Alligator mississippiensis: one gene and its partner. The protein of the gene in region 2 purifies or fractionates together with the protein of the main gene of each other region. This does not show direct contact. Links are inferred from orthologs where the notes say so. Each region holds a gene or a part of one and is shown on either strand. Other genes may lie near its edges.

Region 1 (9,871 bases), on a different chromosome or scaffold from region 2:
CACACACCCTCCTCACCCAGGTTAGCCCGGGGGGGGCACCGGTTTAGTCACCGACAACCGACCATGGAACAGGTTGTACCGGTCTACATGGTACCAGATAGCAGACCACAAGAGGCCTGGCTTGACAGACCAGATAGAAAGTGGTATTGTGCAATTGCCCATTTCCATCCTTCCTTTATTTTCTGTCCATAAAAAAGGGAAGTAAATGCAAATCCTGCTCTTACCACATGGCAGTTACAGGATGTAAACACAGGTCAGGCAATGAAAGTATCCTGCTGCAGTTTGATGCCCCGGTTCTGCAAACAAGCCCACAGGAACCCTCTGCGGGCCCGGGGTTGCCTGCAGCACCTGTTCGTGCGGATCCGCTTGCAAGAACCGGTTCCCACCAGGCTCGTAAGCCATACTTCCATGACTACTGAGGCTGGTCAACCATCACTTAAGCACAGCAGGCCGAGTCCTCGGTGAGCATAAAGCAGTGTAACTCTAGCAACGCACCATGTGGGAGAGAGAAAATGCCAGCAGAAACCTGAATCGATCATGACATGCCTAACTGAGGATCAAGGCTCGTGGTGGAGGTGATCTCTTTGGTCAGACCAACAAGAGTTTTGCAAAAAAAATTATTTATCTGTAATTAAAGCCTTTTTTTTCCCCGCAAAAATCTTGTTGGTCTGACCAAAGAGATCGCCTCTACCACGAGCCCCGATTGCCTTTTCCCCTAGGCCATTACGGCTACAACCCGGGTACCTAACCAAGGATCACATATATATATATATGTCAACTTCCTTGGGGACGAACAGGCACCGGACTGTACACGGGACCAACAAACACCCCTCCAGATCACATGCGCCACATGCAAGATCCAACTCAGATGCCAGCCGGGTGAGTCTTGAAAGAGATCCCCTCCACCACGAGCCCCAGCCGGGCGGGTCTTGAAAGAGATCCCCTCTACCAGGAGCCTTGCAGGCCGCGTCGCAAGAAGGCAGTCGATGAAACAAAGGATCCGCGTCCGGCTGAACTAGTCGCCCAGCTATGGCAGCCGGGTCAGAGAAGCGCGGCGAGGAAGCGGGAGGAGAGGCCAGCGTTTGCTCTGCTCGTGGGAAAGTGCCTCCTCCTACGTGCCGGGCTGCACCTCTCACTTCCCCTGGCTCTTTCCTCCCCCTGCGGCTCTCTGCTGAGCAGCAAGGCAGGGGAATTAAAACCCGAAAAGGCATGTCTAAAACCAGAAACGGCGGCTGCAGAGCGCAGGACGCGGGGCTGGCTCCAGAAATCCCACCTCCGCGTGTGTTTCGTCCGGCCGGACCTCAGCGGTCCCAGCTGGCTCTGCCGGGTCGCACCCCCCTGCCCTGCCCTCCTCTCCTCTCCCCGGGGCCCGGCCGGGCCGGGAGCGCTCACCCGGCAGAAGCAGCGCTGCTCCGCGGAGCCCGGCGGCTGCAGCCCCAGCGCCGCCCCGACCAGCAGCGGCAGCAGCGGCAGCAGCAGCGGCATCGCCCGTGCGCGGCGCATGGCTCGGTGTGCGGCGCCGCCGGCGCCCGGCCGCTCTAGAGCCGCGCGCGGCTCCGCCCCGGGGCGCGGCCGGGATCGCCCCCCCGCCCGCCGCGGACGTGCCGCCCGGCTCGGCTCGGCTCGGCTCCCCCCACCCACGCGGGACACGCCCGCCCCCGCTGACCCCCGCCCGCCCCGCACACGCGTGCCCGGCCGGCACCCGCCCAGGCAAGCACCGCCCGCGGCGCTGCACCCTTCCCGAGAGCGCGGGCCCCTCGCTTCCTGGCTCCGGGAAAGATGCCGGAGCAAGGAGAGGCGTTGGCAAGTCACATCCCCAGGCAGGACCGGCCAACCCATGGTGTGAGCCGGTGGTTTCCCACCTGCCCGAGATGGCAAGCCTGGGCGTACTCTTCAAAGGGGCCCGCGCTTCCTTTGGACATGTTTTAGGGGGCCGCAAATGAAAGAGGTTGAGCTAAGCTCTATGTAAGGGGGTGGTCACGCACAGACGTGACCCCCGAAGGTGTTGCGGGTGAAGCTGGGGAACCGGGCAGCCGAGGTGCTGCTTCTAGGGGATGCTGTCATATACGTGATGTAGGGGCCGTGCCCCCCCTACACAGGAAGGCAACCCCCCAGTCCATGCCAGTCTGAGCAGGGGGGGAATCCCTCCCTGACCCCACGTGGCGCTGGTCTGACCCTGAGCAGAGAGGCAAGACCTAGACGGTCCACGAGACGTGGGATAGGCAGGGAGAGCAAAACAGGGGGCTGACTAACACCCCTTTGCTCTTGGGATGGGAGATGGATGCGTGGAGAAGTGGATCATAGGTGTGGACACGGTCTTGAGGGTCATCTGGTCCAACCCTTGCATGAATGCAGAGATGCTATTTTTAAACTACCCCTTTGAAGCACTCATCTAGCCTCATCTTGAAAGCCTCCAGGAAGGAGTCCACAACTTCCTCGGGGAATCTATTTCATTGCCCCATTGCTTGAAAAGCGAGGAAGTCTTTCTCAGAAAGGCAGGTCCCTGAACACATCATTGCTGAGCCAGCACAAGCCAGCTCTGAAGAGCACCTGCGAAAAGCAACATTGCACAAAATGAGTAATTCTCGGAGCACCATTCACCCGATGTGACTGAGCGGTGATGCAGCCTGATTTGTCCTGACGGCTCCCTAGAAATAATAGCTTCCTTACGGCTTACCCGCGATTGACACTTCCCTGTTCAAATGACAGTTTCTACAGAATGACGTGACTAACGTCCTCGTCATAATATTTACCTGCCTTTGTGTGCTTCGATGGGCACCTACATCAAAACGCACCTAATGCACCATCAAGGAAGGGAAGTATAAATACACCGTGATGCGTGCACCAGGAAGCTGAGACAGCAGGATTTCCAAACCGGGGGGCCTGATCGTAGGTAAACCGCATCCAGGTGAACACAACCGGGTCAGTTTTCAAAAGTGCTTCCTCCCCTTGCTGGCAGCCGGCGCGGTGCAGCACCCGTGATGCGGTCACACACACAGCAAATACAATTGCGGGCTACACCAGCAGGAGTAAGAGGTGCCGCACGGCTGTGCGAGGTGATAGTACCACTCTACTCGGGGCAGGTTAGGCCTCAGCTAGGGCACGGTGTACTGTCCACGTTTTAAGAAGGACGTGGAGAGCCTGGAGAGGGTCCAGAGCAGGGTGGACAGAATATGGCCCACAGGGCAGGCCGGATTCAATGTGCTAAGGGATTTTATCTGGCCTGTGGTCCCATCCCATCTACCCAGCCAAGCACAGCCTGCTTGCAGGGGTCCCAGTGTCTGTGGAGACCCTGCCTGCTCCGTCCTGCGCTCGTGGTGGTGGGTGTAGGGACAGGTCTGGGCCAGATACAATCAATTGCCTACCCCGTGCCAAGCCAGGTCAGCACCCCCCATCCCGCCAAGCTGGGCCAGGTCAGCACGCCCCGACCTTGCAGCAGCTCACCAAAATAATTACCCAGCCCTGGTCAGGAGGATGGAGGGCAAGCTGTTCAGGACAGCAAAGTATGTTTTGCTCAGAGAAAAGGTGGCTGAGAAAGGGCATGATAGCAGTCTGCAAACATCTGAAAAGCTGCCATAAGGAGGAGGGAGAACAGCTGTTCTCCTGCTGCAGACAGGACACCAAGGGATGGTTTGAAACTGCAGCAAAGCGGATTCAGACGAGATCTCAGAAAAAACTTCCTGCTGTCCGAGCAGCGAGGCAGTGGAACAGGCTGCCCGGGGAAGTCATGGACTCCTTCCTGGAGGCTTTCAAGAGGAGGCTAGATGAGCACTTCAAAGGGGTAGTTTAGAAATAGCATCCCTGCATTCATGCAAGGGTCGGACCAGATGACCCTCAAGGCCGCGTCCACACCTGTGATCCGCTGCCCCCCGTGTCCATCTCTCATCCCAAGAGGGAAGGGGTGGAAGTCAGTCCCCTGTTTTGCACTGCCTATCCCACCTCTCACAGGGTTGCGAATCAGCATGGCACAACGGGGTTAACCTGTCCCCGAACCCAGTGGGGGATACCGCTGGCTGCATGACCCCTTCCCTAGAGCCCCCTCCTCAATTTCAGTGGATCGTGGAGCAGCTGTGACCACGGGGAATCCTTGGGGCTGGACTACCAGGAAGGAGGAAGGTGGCTGTCACCCAGTGAGTCCTTCCCTCTCGCGTGTGACACAGGAAGTCCAGGGAGCGTGGCATCCTCGGAGCCGTGCTGCACCCAGGCAGCAGGCACTTTCTGGCCTGGCGGGAGAGCAAGAAGGCAGTGGGAAACAAGACCCCAGGCAGCTCCCACAAAATGCCAGCTCTTCCTTTCCACTTGTGTTTTGACTCCAGAAAAATAATAGAGCAATTTTGCTGTTGCAAAGAGCTCAGCAAGGCCCCACCAGGTCCGGATGGTTTTTAACAGCGTGGATTGCTGTTTGCAATGTCCGGGTTTGTCTCGTGAATCATGTTCGCGCACCTCCCGGCACGGACCTCGAAGCACCCCGGGCGGCCGCAGCACCCCGCTGGAGCCACCGCCGCACGCTCTCGCGGGGGAAGCAGCGAGGATGCTACTTCCTTACGTAAACGGGGTGCAGCAGCCTAGCTGCGAGCCACCGGGAATGCAGCAGGACCAGGATTGTTTGTGATGCCTTTTATTGGCGCAGCCGTGCGCTCGGGAGAGGTGCTGGGCAAGCCTTGGGGCATCAAGGGCTCTTCCGCAGGGCTGGGAAAGGAGGAGACAGATGAAGAGCAGCCTCCGTGGCAGTGCAAACCACCTCCGTGTGCACACTACAGAGCTGTTTGCACGCACAGCCTCAGCGGGAGGCTGCGCTGGAGCCGCGGAGGAGCCAGGAGGTAGCAGGTGGCGGTGCACGGCGCGCCGCCGCCGCCTCCCCGCCAGGGGGCGCGGGCGGGCGGGCGGCAGCAGCGCGCGTGCGCGCGGGCGGCCCCGCCCCCCGGCGGCCCGGCCCGGCCCGCCCCGCCCCCGGCGGCCATGGCCCTTCCCGGCATTCCCTATGAGCGGCGGCTGCTCATCATGGCGGACCCGAGAGACAAGGCGCTGCAGGACTACCGCAAGAAGCTGCTGGAGCACAAGGAGATCGACGGCCGCCTCAAGGAGTGTGAGCGCTGCCGCTGCGGGTCGGCCGGGCCGGGGCTGAGGGGAGCCGGGCCTGGAGCCGAGCCGGGCCGGGCCGGGTGGGCCGGGCGAGGCGCTTAGTCACGGGCCCGAGGGCCGGGGGGCGGGGCCTGCGGCGGCGGGGGGGGGACGACGACACCTGACCCCTCCTCGTGATGTCACTGGGGGCGGGGCTGAGAGGGGTCTCTCCCCCTCAGGTAGGGGGGCTGCCTGGCCCCTCCCCATGACATCACTGGGGGTGGGGCTGAGGGGTCTTCCCCTCAAGAGGGGGGTGGGGGGGTGCCTGACCCCTCCCCATGATGTCACTGGGGGCGGGACTGAGGGGGGGTCTCTTCCCCTCAGGCAGGGGGGCTGCCTGGCCCCTCCCCATGACCTCACTGGGGGTGGGGCTGAGGGGGGGGTCTCTTCCCCTCAGGCAGGGGGGCTGCCTGGCCCCTCCCCATGACCTCACTGGGGGTGGGGCTGAGGGGGGGGTCTCTTCCCCTCAGGAGAGGAGGGGGGGTGGCTGGCCCCTCCCCATGACCTCACTGGGGGTGGGGCAGAAGGGGGGGGTCTTCCCCTTAGGAAGAGGTGGTACCTGGCTCCTCCCCATGATGTCACTGGGGGTGAGGCTGAGGGGGGCCCCTTCCCCTCAGGAGGGGGAGGGGAGCAGTGACCTTGCCCCTGCCTGGATGTGGAGCTTGACGGACCCCCGTGTTGCCCCCGCAGTGCGCGAGCAGCTGAAGGAGCTCACCAAGCAGTACGAGAAGTCGGAGAACGACCTCAAGGCCCTGCAGAGCGTCGGGCAGGTGCGGCGGACGGGCTGCCCCAGGGCTTTCTTGGACGGGTCTTTTCTTGGGCTGCCTGTGCTGGGGGTGACGTCAGACAAGTTTTGGAGGTCAGGGATGCTGCCTCGGGCCCTGGAGAGCTCTGGGTGCCTATAGACGAGGCTGCTGCAACGTGCTGTGATCGAGTCTGTGGCAACTACCGCGCTCCAGCAGACTCCAGTGTCTCGTGTATCAGCATCCCCATGCTTACAAATGGTGGCAGGGGTGCTTTAACTAAAACTCGGTGGACAAGCATTACTTCAAATGCCCCCACTGCCAGTTTTAAGCACAGGGATGCTGATATGCTAGCCACTCCACGCGCGTTAAGTAGAGCGTCTTTTGGAGCTGCTCTAATTCAAGCACCCCCTCAACTCCTGAAGCATGTGTATCAACACCCTCTGAAAGCTGAGGGAGAGCGTCTTGTGCTCAGCTGCCAGTCTAACTTTATCCCAGTGACATGGTTGGTCCAGTAAAAGACACCACCCTCAGAAGTCTTTGCCCCTCGCCTAATTTCCCGGCTATAGCAGCTACAGCATCACCCTATGCTGACTGCTATACAAGGGAGTGTAAAATAAATCACAGCTGAAGCAGAGCCTAGGGAAACAGGTAGTGCTTGTGGAGTGGCTGTTAATTGTTTTGAGGATAATTTAGTGTGCCCTATGCAACGTATCTATTCTACATGATATATCTAATGGTATTTTTCCCTGTTTCTCTTGTTTAGATTGTGGGGGAGGTTCTAAAGCAGCTAACAGAAGAGAAGTGTAAGTACAGGCACTTGCTTGAAATGTTGTCTTCCTAAAGTAAACCAAAAGGCCAGCGTGGTCACACTGTCTTTTAAATCACTGGATTTGCACAGCACTGTGAAAATATTGGGCATGTGTACACAGGACATTTACTTTGCAGTAAACTAATTAGCTGCCCAGTAAATGTCATGCATCTACATGTGTGCCCCTATTAAACTAGTTCACAGCAGTGAACATGTAGATACTGCCCCGGTTAGCTGAGGCATGAGGGTGCTTTATTACAGGGGCTACCTGCTGGCTAGCCTCACACCGAAGCACCGTTATGCCCCAGCCAGCCCCTCCACAGCACTTTGAGCCAGGGGAAGCAGCCCCCGACTGGCAAGCTGACCCCTTTGGGCCCCCTGCCAGCTGGGGCTGCTCTGACACAGCTCGACGTGCTGCAGTCCCAGGTGCGAACGTTAAACAGTGCACCCGGAGCATTAAGCTGAGTTATTTCTCCATAGTTTCTTTGCATTAATATGCACATGTAGACATGCCCGTTGTGTGGTACTTGGTATTGCTCAGTAGCAGGGAGACGGGTGAAGGACAGTGTGTAAACTTGTTTTATATGTTCTTTTTTTTTTTTCTTCTAGTTATTGTGAAGGCTACAAATGGGCCACGATATGTGGTTGGCTGTCGTCGTCAGGTAAGCCTGCTTTACATGGATACTGTTAAATAGCTTGCTTTCATGTTAAATGCTCTAGTTGCTTTGTCTCAGCAGTGTTTTATAAATTTGTACAGTTCTGTGCTTTCTTTGTTCACTTGTGCTTGGCCCCAGTGTGCAGTTTTCTCTGTACCCTAGTGATGGCCTGTGAAAGATCAAGAATATTGGACTTGAATAAGAAAGCAAAAAGGATACAGTCCAAGAAGTTTCTGGGGATTTTGAGATGTTTGATCCATCCCATCGATTTAACACCTCCCTCCCCCATATCTCATCAGATGGTTTCTGCCCATCTCAGGTGGTTGGAAAGGTTATGCCTCCACATCTAACCATAGAAGTGTGTGCAACTTTGGTTTCCATCATGCTGTCCTTTTCTAGTTGCACTGAACCTCCTGCCTGGTTCAGTTTTTCTTTTAATACTGTATTCTCAAAATCACCCCATTGTGTATATGTTGTGATAATTACATAGTTTCTGGAAGAAAGTTATAAGCTTTAGTTATGTGATCTGGGTGCTTTCAGTTAAGGGTTGACTGTTGCTCATTTCAAGTTTTATACTGTGAGCCTGTGACGGGGGGCCATCATGTCACCATACTGATCTGCCCCTTTGTCTAGGGCAGTCTGCCCTGTTTCGCCTGCCATGACTTGCTGTAAAATGGACCTAATGTAATAAGCAGAAGGCTGCCCATTTTAATGCCCTGATACCAAGGAGCACTATCCACAGCTCCATACCACCCCTACGCTGTGGCTGATTCCTCGCAGATGGCATCCAGATTATAATTAAACGTCCGGTCTAAGGCCGGGCAAAACTCGGTCCACTGTTGGTCCTCTTATACACCGCCCCTTTCAGGACCACATTCATACCGCCTCCCTGTCACTGGTGCCTCTTCAACTCTGCCCATCACTGAGCCACTTGCAACCTGCCCTGCTCCCTTGAGTGACCAAATAGGCCATCAGACTTGCCTACTCACGCTCCTTGACTGGCCGGTGCTCAGCCTTTTGGGCCTGTCCTGTGACCCTCATCTGAACAGTGACCGGCCAATTTGCCTACCAGTGGGCTGACTGCTCCTAACCCAGGGGCGGGCAATTATTTCAGGCAGAGGGCCACTTACCAAGTTTTGGCAAGCCATCGAGGCCCGCGTGGGTCGCCCTGCCTTTTGACAGGTGCCCCACCCCCTGGTTGCCACCTTGGAACCAGAAGTCCCACCCCCTAACCCCTGACTTTTGCTCCCCTTGCCCCCCAGAATTACTCCTTTCAGCAAGGGTTTTTTGCCATCTCTGAACCAGAAAAATACCACATTATATTCTAAAAATTAAACATGTACTACAACATTCATTAATTTCATTTCAAAAAATATTTTTGTCCTGATTTACATGTGTTTGTGTAGTGTACATAGAGGTGACAATATAACAGCTTAAAATGAAGTCCTACTCTTGTATATTGTGGGAGGGTGTGGGTGGGAGGTGGGGTATAGGTTTGTGGGTATGTGGGGTGTAGAGGAGGGAAGGTGTGTGTGTGTGTGTGTATGTTAAATTTGTGTGGGGGGTGTTGGGTGTGGGTGGGTATGGGGCTTGGGGCATGTGAGTGTGTGGGGGGAAGGTGGCTGGGGAGGGTTGTGGCTTGCATGGAGGAGGAGGGTTTGCCCACATCCTATTTCCTCCCCTCAAATGGCAGGCAGAGCGCCCGCTAGCGCTCCTGCAAACCTGGGCTCTGTGCTCCTGCCATTCCTAGCCCCAGGGCACTGGTGTGGGCCCCATGCTCCTGCTCACTGCCACTTGCCCCCTGTCTATCACTGCTACCCTTCTGAAGCTTCCCCATTCCCCCCACCCTGCACCATGTCGCAGCTGCTCCTGCGGTCCTCGCGCTGCAACTGGGAACTATGTGGTGCTAGAGTGCAGTGGGGGTGGGGGGCAGTGGGGAAATGGCTGTGGCAGGCGGGGGGAAGGGGTAGGAGTGGGTGTGCAGAGTGCAGCAAGAGCTGGGCGGGGCCCGCACCGGTGCACCAGGGTCAGCGCTAGCGGAGCCCAGAGTGGGGCAGCAGGAGCGCAGGGTCTGGGATGCCAGGGGTTCTATGGAGCCGTGGTGGCTCCCTCTTTTCCCTGCTTGAGAAGCACAGGCTGGCCCCAGTGCACCGGTGCAGGCCCTGTGCTCCTGCCTGGCTCTCACCGTGCTTCACACAGCTGCTCATTGCCCTTTCTCCCCACCTGCCTCAGCCATTCCCCCCCCACCCCCCCCCAGCTGGCACCACATGGTTCCCAGCTGCAGCACTGGCACTGCAGGAGCTGGCCCAGGTGGCCCTGAGAAGATCACCCACAATTCTCCCTTGCCTCTCTCCCCCATCTCCTTATCTGTATTTCTCTCAGAGCAGGGAGGCAGGAACAGCCCCAGGCCAGAAGCCCCTGCTAGGCAGAGGCTTCCAACTGGGCCTCGCTGGGCCAGATTTGCTGTTGCAGCTGTTTAGTTCTGCCACCGGCTCCCCCTGGGTCCTATTGCCAATGGCTCCTGTCATCTTTGACAGGCA
Region 2 (9,586 bases):
TCTTCAGAAACAATAGATAGCTGCAGCATCAGGATTTTGGATTTTTACTTGTTGTGCACAAGCCTCAGCTTAGCATGACTTTTTCAGATCTTACTATAGTCTTTTAACAGACTTAAGATAATTATTGGGGTGCTCATAACCTTTTGTGGAGAGGACTCCCACCAGTCGTCTCGGGAAAAGTATGGCAACACCTGTGATTAGGGCTCCAACGGGTTGGACGCTGTGATGAACCTTTTACCATTGTTCAAATGCTGCCCATACCCCCTCTGACTCGGTCTCTTGCCTCAGCATTCCCTAACCCGGCAACCGAGTTTTAGTCTATCAAGTTTAAATAGGCCTCCCATAGTGGGACCGGGGAATGTATGGCCCGAGATGCCTATTAAACTTAGAGGTGTGTATGTGTCGGGGGGGGGGGGGGGAGTCCTTAGTAAATCCAGATTAGAACTGGTCTGATAAATGCTGAGCTGGGTGTGTGTGAACATGGGTTGATTAACATTTGAAGCACAGATTCCCCATCATGCAGTGCTCCCCTGCTTCTCTGGTCCCAGAATTCACTGCAGTCTCTGCTTCAGGCTTTCTGTTCTCCATCTCTCATGTAAATGAATGGTCATGTGGTTCCATCTCAGATGCAAATGAGACCTAGGGCAGTTGTTTCACTCTTGTCACCGTTATCTGGAGGGTCTTAGGTGTGTCTCTCACTGCATCTTAATCAGTTTCATTTATGTAGAGGAGCAGAGGGAGGAGGGGGTGAGTCAGACAGACTGCATCCTGTGCCAGGGTTCCCAAGAACACACAGCTGAGATGGAACAACGGCCAGTGGCAGAGATGGGTCTGCCTTCTTCCGAGTCACACTACAGTAATGCAACATCCATCAGGCCATAGACTTTCCTTTTTGAGTCAAGAATGTGCCTGGATTCTTTTTTCTAAGTACTGGTCAAATGAAAATGTTGAAAGGGGTTGCAACTTCAAAAAGGTATTAAAAACCATATCAAATGTGTTTATATATATACATATATATATACAAATGTGTATAATTAATACATTCATCAATTATAAAGCCAGAAGGGGTCACAATGATTTATCTCATCAGACCTCCAGCATAACAGACTTTCCAAATTAATCCTTGTTTGAACTATGGCACAAATTTTAGAAAGACTCTTGCTTTTAAAAATATGTCATGTGGGTAAAAATGTAGCTGTATTGTTACCAAAAACAAAGTACCATTCGGTCTCCAGAGAGACAAGACTACAGCCTAAGATGAGAATTCTTTTGCAAGTTTAGACACAAGTTAAGGGTCAGTTACACGTTCCTTAATGATTACTTTTTTTGAACATCAAATAAGATACAATCACATTTCCCAATGATCCTCCATTCCCTCTTAGCAGATAAGATATTACTACCACCCAAGTCAGATAAAAAGGCAAGAGACAGGTCTAGAGCCCAACACCAAAGCACAATAATAAGCATTTGTCTCTAGCTAGGGCTGGGTATTCAGAATTGCCAACTCTCATGATTTTTGGCATTGTTTTTAAAGTCTCTGCTTCAGGAATGTGAAAACCTTAGTTCTTTCTTTTATCTATATTTAGATTACATCTATATTTATATATAGATTATATACATATATATAATCTATATTTATATATAGAAATAAAAGAAAGAGCTAAGTTTTTCACATTCCTGAAGTGTAGATTTTAAGAACAATGCCAAAAATCATGAGAGTTGGCAACACAGGGTATTTGACCAGGCAAATAAAGTTCAGTCAGTTGACGGGTCAAATGTCAGTCAAAAACTGTAAAAATTTGCCAATAGGTCTAATAATATACAGAAAAAGCACAACATTTTCCATTAAGGAATGTGTCAAAAAGCAATAAAAAATCATATGTCTGTCAAAAAAACTACAATAAATGTAGCTTAAAAAAATATAAAATTGCTATAATTTTTGACCAGTCAAAAAATATGCAGTTAATGGACCAGTCAGTTGATAATACTGGACTGGTCAATTGACTGGCTTGCCAACCCTATCTCAAGTTACCTGCAAGAGCACAACACAGTTTCTCAGCTATACCAACTGGGGGGGAGAGGGGGAGATGCAGAAGGCAGGAGGAAGGTAGCATGCAGGCTAGCATCAGGCATCTTGAATTTGTTGAGGCCTTTCCCAAATACCCAATATTTATATGTGGCTTATTTTAATATTCTGATTGGTGTTATTCAAATTTCTTTGTTTCACTGAGATTTTAGGAACTGGACTATCCCAGCTTTTCTGTGGAAGCCAGTTAGCTGAGGTCTATGTTCTTGTGAAAAATACAACTCTGGGAGAGCGAGAGGACCTCTTATCTCTCTCTCTCCCTCACCCTCTGGGAATGCAATTTGCCATGTTCTGTTTCTTTAACTTTGCTGACTAAGCCAGTTGTAATACATTTACAAAAGTTCATTCTGAAACAGGCTTTGTGGCCTGCTTTAACCACCCTGCTGCTACTTAGCATAAGTCCCTTGAAAGGGGCCAAGGCTGACAACAAGTTAAACAAGACCCATTATTCCTCCAATAAAATTCTAGATGACTACATACAACTTAATTCTTAAAACATCAGTCGTTACCTTTTAGCTTCTATAAAACACTGTCCACAAAGCAGTTATTCATTCTTGGCCTAATCTAATACTAGTGGCCTTGATAAACAGATTCTTATTCTGTTTACCCAGGCTATTGCTTATGACTTAAATGCAAGCTTGTTGATTATTGGTTGTATATCATTTTAAGCACATCATATTCATAACTCAGGCTTCTGCTAGGTCTGTAGTCGGCACTGGTCAGCGTGGTCCATCAGTAATTGACTGTGTCTACAGTTTACAGTATGTATTTCTTGTAGAAATATAGCAATGCCAATGGGATTTTCTGTAAGTAACATTAAGACCTCCTTCTTGTTGTGTCCACTACCATCCAACTTAATTCAGTAATTGGGCACCAATGTTTAAACTAAAAATAAGATGGGACAGTAGGACATGAATGTTCTCTCCCAGGTGCCCACACATTTCAAAAGGGTAGTTTGTATCCAGTACTATTATGGGAAAAGGAGATCACTCACTGAGATGTCTGAATGCTACTGTCTTCTTTCAGCAAAGTATGTGTTTTACTGAGACTTTCAGTAACTGGAGTCCTCAACCGTTGCAAACCTTCTGGCTTGAAAGACTCTCTCTCCTCATCACTTACTGCAGTGGCCAGCAAAAGCGCTTGAGGAGAAACCTTTTATATAAAAAAGATGGTGCTGCTCACAGGATGTTCTTTATGAGGGCTTTTCCCCATGATCTAAATACTCTGAACGCAATGACTTGGGGACAGTGCAAAAGCCATTTATTTTATAAGGTCTAATGAGAAATGCATGACCTTGAGGAGGGTTGTAAGGGGTTGTTTCCTCTGCACTGGTATATTTTCTGGTGGAGTTATTTCATTATTTGCACACAATACACTATTGGAAAATTACCATTTAGGACTCAAACCCTACAGGATTGTTAGCAGTTCCTGGACATGTTGGTATAGGCGGGTTTTTTAAAAAAATTATTTAAATCTGCATGAATAATTCTTAAATTTTACTCATCCTTTGAAACATCACATGTTTGAGCTCTGCCAGTGGCCTGGAGTATTAGGACGAGTCATTTATGAACAGAACACACATTTGCCCCCGGGGGGGGGGGGGAAATCCTAGACTGGGTTCCACCATTTTTAAACCAGTCTGTGCTGAAATTCTGCTCTGTTACGAGTATAGACCAGTTTTGTGTGCTGAATGTCTGTTTTATTACAGGTATAGACTGGTTTCCAATCACTTATACCAGTACAAGTGTAATGTCTGACCCTGGCCTTAAAGACTGGCTTCCTCTTCTCCCAGGGGAACGAGGTGCCACTTTCAGTTAAAAAAAGACCTACCCTCTCTCCCTACTCCTGCTACCCAAGGCATAGGGGGTGCTCAGCTAGGGTGCTGTGACATCCCTTTGAAGAGCGCTATACAATATTAGTGTGGCGAGGCGTGCAAACCCTTGCGCATGATTTCAGATAGGAATTCACACTGTCAAAACCCCATTGCTGCCCTCTGGCTGCCTTCCTGAGTTCTTCTGGGACGAGACTTGCTCTCATCTTGTTGGTCTAGTAGCCTCCGCTCCTCCAAAATATCCCACCCAGGCATAGGCAGCTAAGGTCTGGGTGGCCCTCATGCATACACTGTGCTCCAGGAGGGTCGCCGGTTGCTGCATGGTGGTCTAATAAAAGATATCGTCTCTACTGCAAGTCCTGACTGCCTTGTCCTCTAGACCAATGCGGCTGCAACCTGGATACCCGACATCTCTCGCTTCCCCGCAGTTGAGGAAGAGCGAGAGGCGGCACGAGGCCGCCTGCACTGCAGTCCAAATGAGACCAAGAGCCGCTGGTCTGAAGCCAGGAACAGACGTGAGATGCAGCCTGTCCCGGAGCAGAACAGTCCAGGGCCTGGCATGCCCGCCCAGACCGGGTCTGAACATGTCCTTATCCCAGCATAACCACTCACGCTGGGCCTAGCCCGTGCGTTTGTCTCAAGTTCACCCCGCGCTGAGGCTTTTATTTATTTTTAAGGGGAACTTGACGGGATGGAGGAGGGAGAATCCTGCGGCCCCGCCCCTCGGGCCCCGCTCCGCGCCTGCGCACCAGCCACTTCCCCCCCCCCGCGCATGCGCCGCGCGCTTCCCCTCCCCCGCCCTGGCTGGCGCGGGGGGCTGCGGACGCGAGTCACGATGGCGGCGGCCAGGCCGTGAGCGGCGGCGGCACCCACCCCTCCCCCACGCGGCCCGCCACCCCCGGCTCCCGCGCGCGCGCGCGCGCTGCCTCCCCCCGCCCTCCGCGCCTGCGCACCTGCCCCCCTCCCGGCGCAGCGCAGCGCAGCGCAGCGCAGCGCGGACAGCCCGCGCCAGCAGCCGGCGGGTGGGCGGGGGCGGCCTCGCTGGGCCCGCGGCGCCGCCATGCAGATCACGCTGAAGACGCTGCAGCAGCAGACCTTCAAGATCGATATCGACCCCGAAGAGACGGTGCGGGCCGGGGCCGGGGCCGGGGCCTGCCTGGGCGGGCGGGCGGGCGGGGGGTCGCAAGGGCCTTGGCGGCCGGGGAGGAGCGGAGCGGGCTGCGCGGTGCGGCGCGGCTCCGGGCAGGCCGCAGGCCTCCATGGCTCCTTAGTGCGGGCCCCCGCACCGAGGGCTGAGGCGGCCCGGCCTGCGCTCCTGGGCATGTGAGACTGCAAAACGGCCTGGCTGCCAGCGGGGCGGGGGGATGGGCCCCAGAGGCCTGCCTCCAGCCTCTCCATTGAATCCTGGGACTGGACGTGAGCGAAGACCTGGCCCCAGGGGTGCTGCTGTGGCTCCTCTCAAGCCATGAGCTGGGCTGGATTTAGAGGCGGAACAGGCAGCGATGGTTCCCTGCTCTCCTTAACTCCAGAGCAGCCGTCAGGGTGCTGTGAAATCCCCTCAGAGGGCTGGTCAAAATTCAGGAGAAACTTGTCTGGAAAAGCGGGCCCAGGCAGGGGGGGTTGGTGGTAGGGCTGTACTGCCAGCTCATGCTCCAGAGCCTCATGGTAAAAACCGGAGCCTGTTTAAACCGCCAAATCTTTTCAGGCACCTGGTTAGTCACACTTTTGCTAGTTGAGCGTCCCCTCAGCCTCCTTTTTTAAATATTTCTTGAGACTGAAGTGTGCCACTGCCCCAGATTAAGTTGGAGGCTTGCGCAGAGTCAGGTTGTGTTTGCTCCGGAGAGCCCCTGGAGCATTACACTTCGTGTGCTGTTTTCATGTCCTCCGTGCTAGAGGTAGGCTTATTTACTTGGATCACTGCCCTGTGCTGTGACTGGCCAAAACGGTCTGGTTATGATAGGCCCAGGAAACTTGTTGCTTTTAAACCTGCTGCTGTTTCTAGCATTTTCTGTCTTTTACTTTCCCTGTACAAATCAAACTTAAAACAAGCCTGAGGTTGAGCAACAATGTGAGGCCATCCTGAAACAGCAGCTCTAGGTTCAGCACTAGAAGTATGCAGTTATCAGAAATCATGTTAGTATTTATACATACCACTGAAAATATCATTAACTACTTTTTGTCATTAAACCAGGCATGTCGAACATACAGCCTGTAGGCCAAATTTGACCCATGGGTCTCTCTGCAATGTTAATTGGTGACAGCGGAAGAGAGGACTTATGGCAGCCACAAGATTAATGGTGGCCGCCCCTGATGTTCTTGGGTCGTCTGGCCCATGGGGAGCCTTGTGGTCTGGATTTGGCTCACAAGGCCAAACAACTTTGACATCCCTGTCATAAGCTGTATTGTAACGACTTGAACACTTGGCATTGAACCACTACTTTTTTCCTATTTGACAAAGGAAAAAGCTCAGTGCAATGAGTATATTTTGTAGCTCAGAGCTAGTTTTAAATATTAGTGCTACATTGATTTTAAAAGATGTGACCAGAATTTGCATTTTCTGAATGCTGGACCTAAAACATGAGCTGTTCTATATTTGTCAAAGCACTATTTTTGAAATAACTGAGTGGAGATGGTAGATTGTCCCGCCTGATATAAAACCATTTTTAAGAAAGTTGTGGCTGGCTAAAGACTTCATGGTTTGAAAAGTCCTGTAATGTATGAAATGAGGGAAAATACTACTCAAAGTCCAGGAGATATGTTCAACTTCTGTGGAATGAATTTTGGAGCAAGCATGCAGGGGTCATAGGTGCACCCCTGATATCATATACAGAAAACTGTGTTGCCAGTTGAGCAGGCTTAGTTCTATGACCATTGTCAGTTAAACATTTGTCATGATGATGGACCAAATCACTTGTTCCTGTACTGCTGTGTGGGCACTCTTTGTTTACTAACATCCCTTAATTGAAATTAAATGATTCCCACTACTTGAAGTGGATGCAGTACTATGTAGCTGACACATTCTTGACTGATAGGTGAAAAGCAATTATGACAGTCTGGAGTTATAGACTTGTAAAGCTACTGGTAAAATGAATGCTGTTTAGGATTTAGAGATGCAAATGTATTTAGCATGATCTGGGAGTGTAAACCATTTTAGGTAAAAGTAGCATAGTTGGGTAAAAAAATTCTTCAGCTTCAATACAGTGTTAAATATCACCTTAGACAAAAGTATGTTTATGTTTTAATTACATTTTGCTATGCTGGTATTTGTTCAAACTGGAAAAAATGCCAGGAGCAAGAGGAATGGCAGAGTGAGTGGCAGTTGTCTTTACACAGCTTTTTCGTTAACAGAGCATGCATTTTCATGTGTTAGCATTCTGCCACAGTATTTGAACATTTGTATGGAAAGCTTGCTTCAAGAAAGTGTCAACAGGAAACTCTTGAAGTTAGGGTAGCTTATTTTTCAAGCCAATGACTAAATGCATTCTGTTTAACACAGGACTGTCCAGATTGTAAGCGGTTGTGGTTCACAGACCATACCAATGGGGCTGCATTCTCCAGGGGCCACACTTCTACAAGCCACAGCTCCTGTACTGCATGAACGATTAACCCCCCACACACACACTGCCACACCACTGTGCGCCATGTAGTGTGGCATTTTGTCCCTTGGGACAGGAGCAAAAAAGGAAAAGTTGTGGGAAGGAGGGGTACCTTAGAGACCTCAGCTGCAGTAGCAGCTGGAGCAGTAAGGGGAGCAGCAGCCAGGTAGGAGCTTGAGGTCTGTTTATTAACCTGTTGTGGGACAGCCTTGCTTAAACATGCATAGATATTTTGCTTCATTCCTAACATCCTTGTCATTCTGCAATATATATGTTAGAGAAATTTAAGGTAGGTACTAATTTCAACCCTACTGAATGTACCTTGGAGTGTGTTCTAGCAAAGCAGTAGCCTTGGGCATGGAGGAGATCCAGCAGAGCTGTCATCTGAGATTAAAGTGGGAAAGGTGCACAGAATAGAGTTTTGGGTCTAAAGTTATGTAGTAATCCAGGAAAGATTATCAAGAGTTGTTGGTGGATGCTGGGAAAAAGATACTCAAATAGGAATATACAAAGGATTTCGGTGGATTGGTAAAATGTCTGTCTAGCAATTAATCATAGGGGTAAAAAAACTATTGTCAGTTACAGGGGCACAGAACATGGTTAAAATCCATCAAGGCTCTTCTGGTGAAGTACTCACTAATAGCTTTAGGGAAAGTATCTTAAAATAATTTGTAGCTCTAGTTCTGTTTTGAGTTTTTTTCTAGTCACAATGATAAATCTGTGAATTACATCATGCACTGCACTAAAGTAATCCATTGGGTGATTGAAATGGTAGCTACATATGCAAATTTGATTCCAGAAGACCATGGCTTCCTCAATTCTGCTTAGTTGTGTTATAGACCATCTGATTAAGAGCAGTCAGTGGTCAGTGAGCAGTCAGCTATACAATTTCAAACCATGCTTGCGGGGTTGATTTTGTGCTAGCTGGGAAAAGATGCTTAGAAACAAATGGAGTTGGGTTAGTATCTGACTAGTGATCATGTGAATTTTTCAGGGCTGAACCAAATCTTGCAAGGTGAGCTTTTGGGGTTGAGTTGGGAATACAGCTATAGTTTTAGTAGCATTTGTGTGAAGCCTGAGATTGGTGTATACCATAGTATACAGATGGGAAGAAGGTGGAAGATCTTCCTTTAAATTAGTAGTTCTTAACCTTATTAGCATCAAGACACACCGTGGAAAATGCCAACTCCTAGCTTTCACTCTTTTTCACAAAAAATAATACATTGATTCTTCTATTGCAAAGAACTTAGGAAGCCCCCAACAGGGCAGAATGTTTTTAACCCTGTGGATTCCTTTTGGAAATCTCTGGGTTTATCTTGTGAATTGTGTTTGCCCATCTAACAGTGCTAAAATTATGTAACACTGTATAGTACCCTTCAAAGGTATAGTACCGTTCAAAGGATTCCAAGGCACCTAAAGCCCTCTGGTAGAGAGAGAATCGCTGATTTAAACGTATCAAACTACCAGTCCCTTAAAAGGCACAAAAACAATAATGCTGGAAGATCTCTAAGGTGGAGTTCACATCTCTTAAACTGTAAAAGCTAGAACAGACATTTTGAAGGTGGTGTCAGAAGGCTTAATTTGTGAGACAACTTTACACAATAGCAAAAGATCAATTGGTTCACAAGCAGACAGATCTAAAATGGAACTTCCGTTACTATGAGGTACACTTGAAAGACATCTTTTCTATTTTCTGCTTATTTTCTTTATTTTTGTCCTTTTTTTCCCCTAAGTCCCTTTGTGGCTGTCTCCATCCCAAATGTGCTTGTGCAGCTCATTCAGATACAACTCTGTGGCAGTGTTAGCAAAAACACAAGACTGATTAGCTTATAGGAGAACTAATATTAAGAACAGTGGGTTGGAGGATTAAATATTCTCATGATCTTGTACAGAATTCATATTTCCACTTCAAGGCAGGAGGTGTGCTGCCACGTCCCACATCCTTAAAATTTGTTCCCCTAGAACAGGGGTGACCAAGATGAAACTCATGGTCCAGATCTGGACTGTGGAGCCTTGCATTCAGCTTGTAGGTCTCCCCATACGTCCAGTAATTTGGTGGGTGGTGAGTAGTGA

Evidence for each region. Proteins that work in one complex are often made in the same cells at the same time.
Region 1: the proteins of RAD23B (region 2) and PSMC6 fractionate together in Homo sapiens (co-fractionation; 4 studies listed by BioGRID and IntAct, with this or other methods). This does not show direct contact. The link is inferred for Alligator mississippiensis from reciprocal best matches to the Homo sapiens genes RAD23B and PSMC6.

Annotation. Positions count from the first base shown.
Region 1 is NC_081825.1:300,635,776-300,645,646, reverse strand, and holds the start of PSMC6 (26S proteasome regulatory subunit 10B), read left to right. Parts: upstream 1-4,957; 5' UTR 4,958-4,959; coding exon 4,960-5,086; intron 5,087-5,811; coding exon 5,812-5,891; intron 5,892-6,630; coding exon 6,631-6,670; intron 6,671-7,284; coding exon 7,285-7,337; intron 7,338-9,871. Other genes in the region: ERO1A (ERO1-like protein alpha), read right to left, coding at 1,393-1,503. UniProt on the Homo sapiens protein: Component of the 26S proteasome, a multiprotein complex involved in the ATP-dependent degradation of ubiquitinated proteins.
Region 2 is NC_081826.1:159,380,296-159,389,881, forward strand, and holds the start of RAD23B (UV excision repair protein RAD23 homolog B), read left to right. Parts: upstream 1-4,763; 5' UTR 4,764-4,977; coding exon 4,978-5,043; intron 5,044-9,586. UniProt on the Homo sapiens protein: Multiubiquitin chain receptor involved in modulation of proteasomal degradation. Binds to polyubiquitin chains.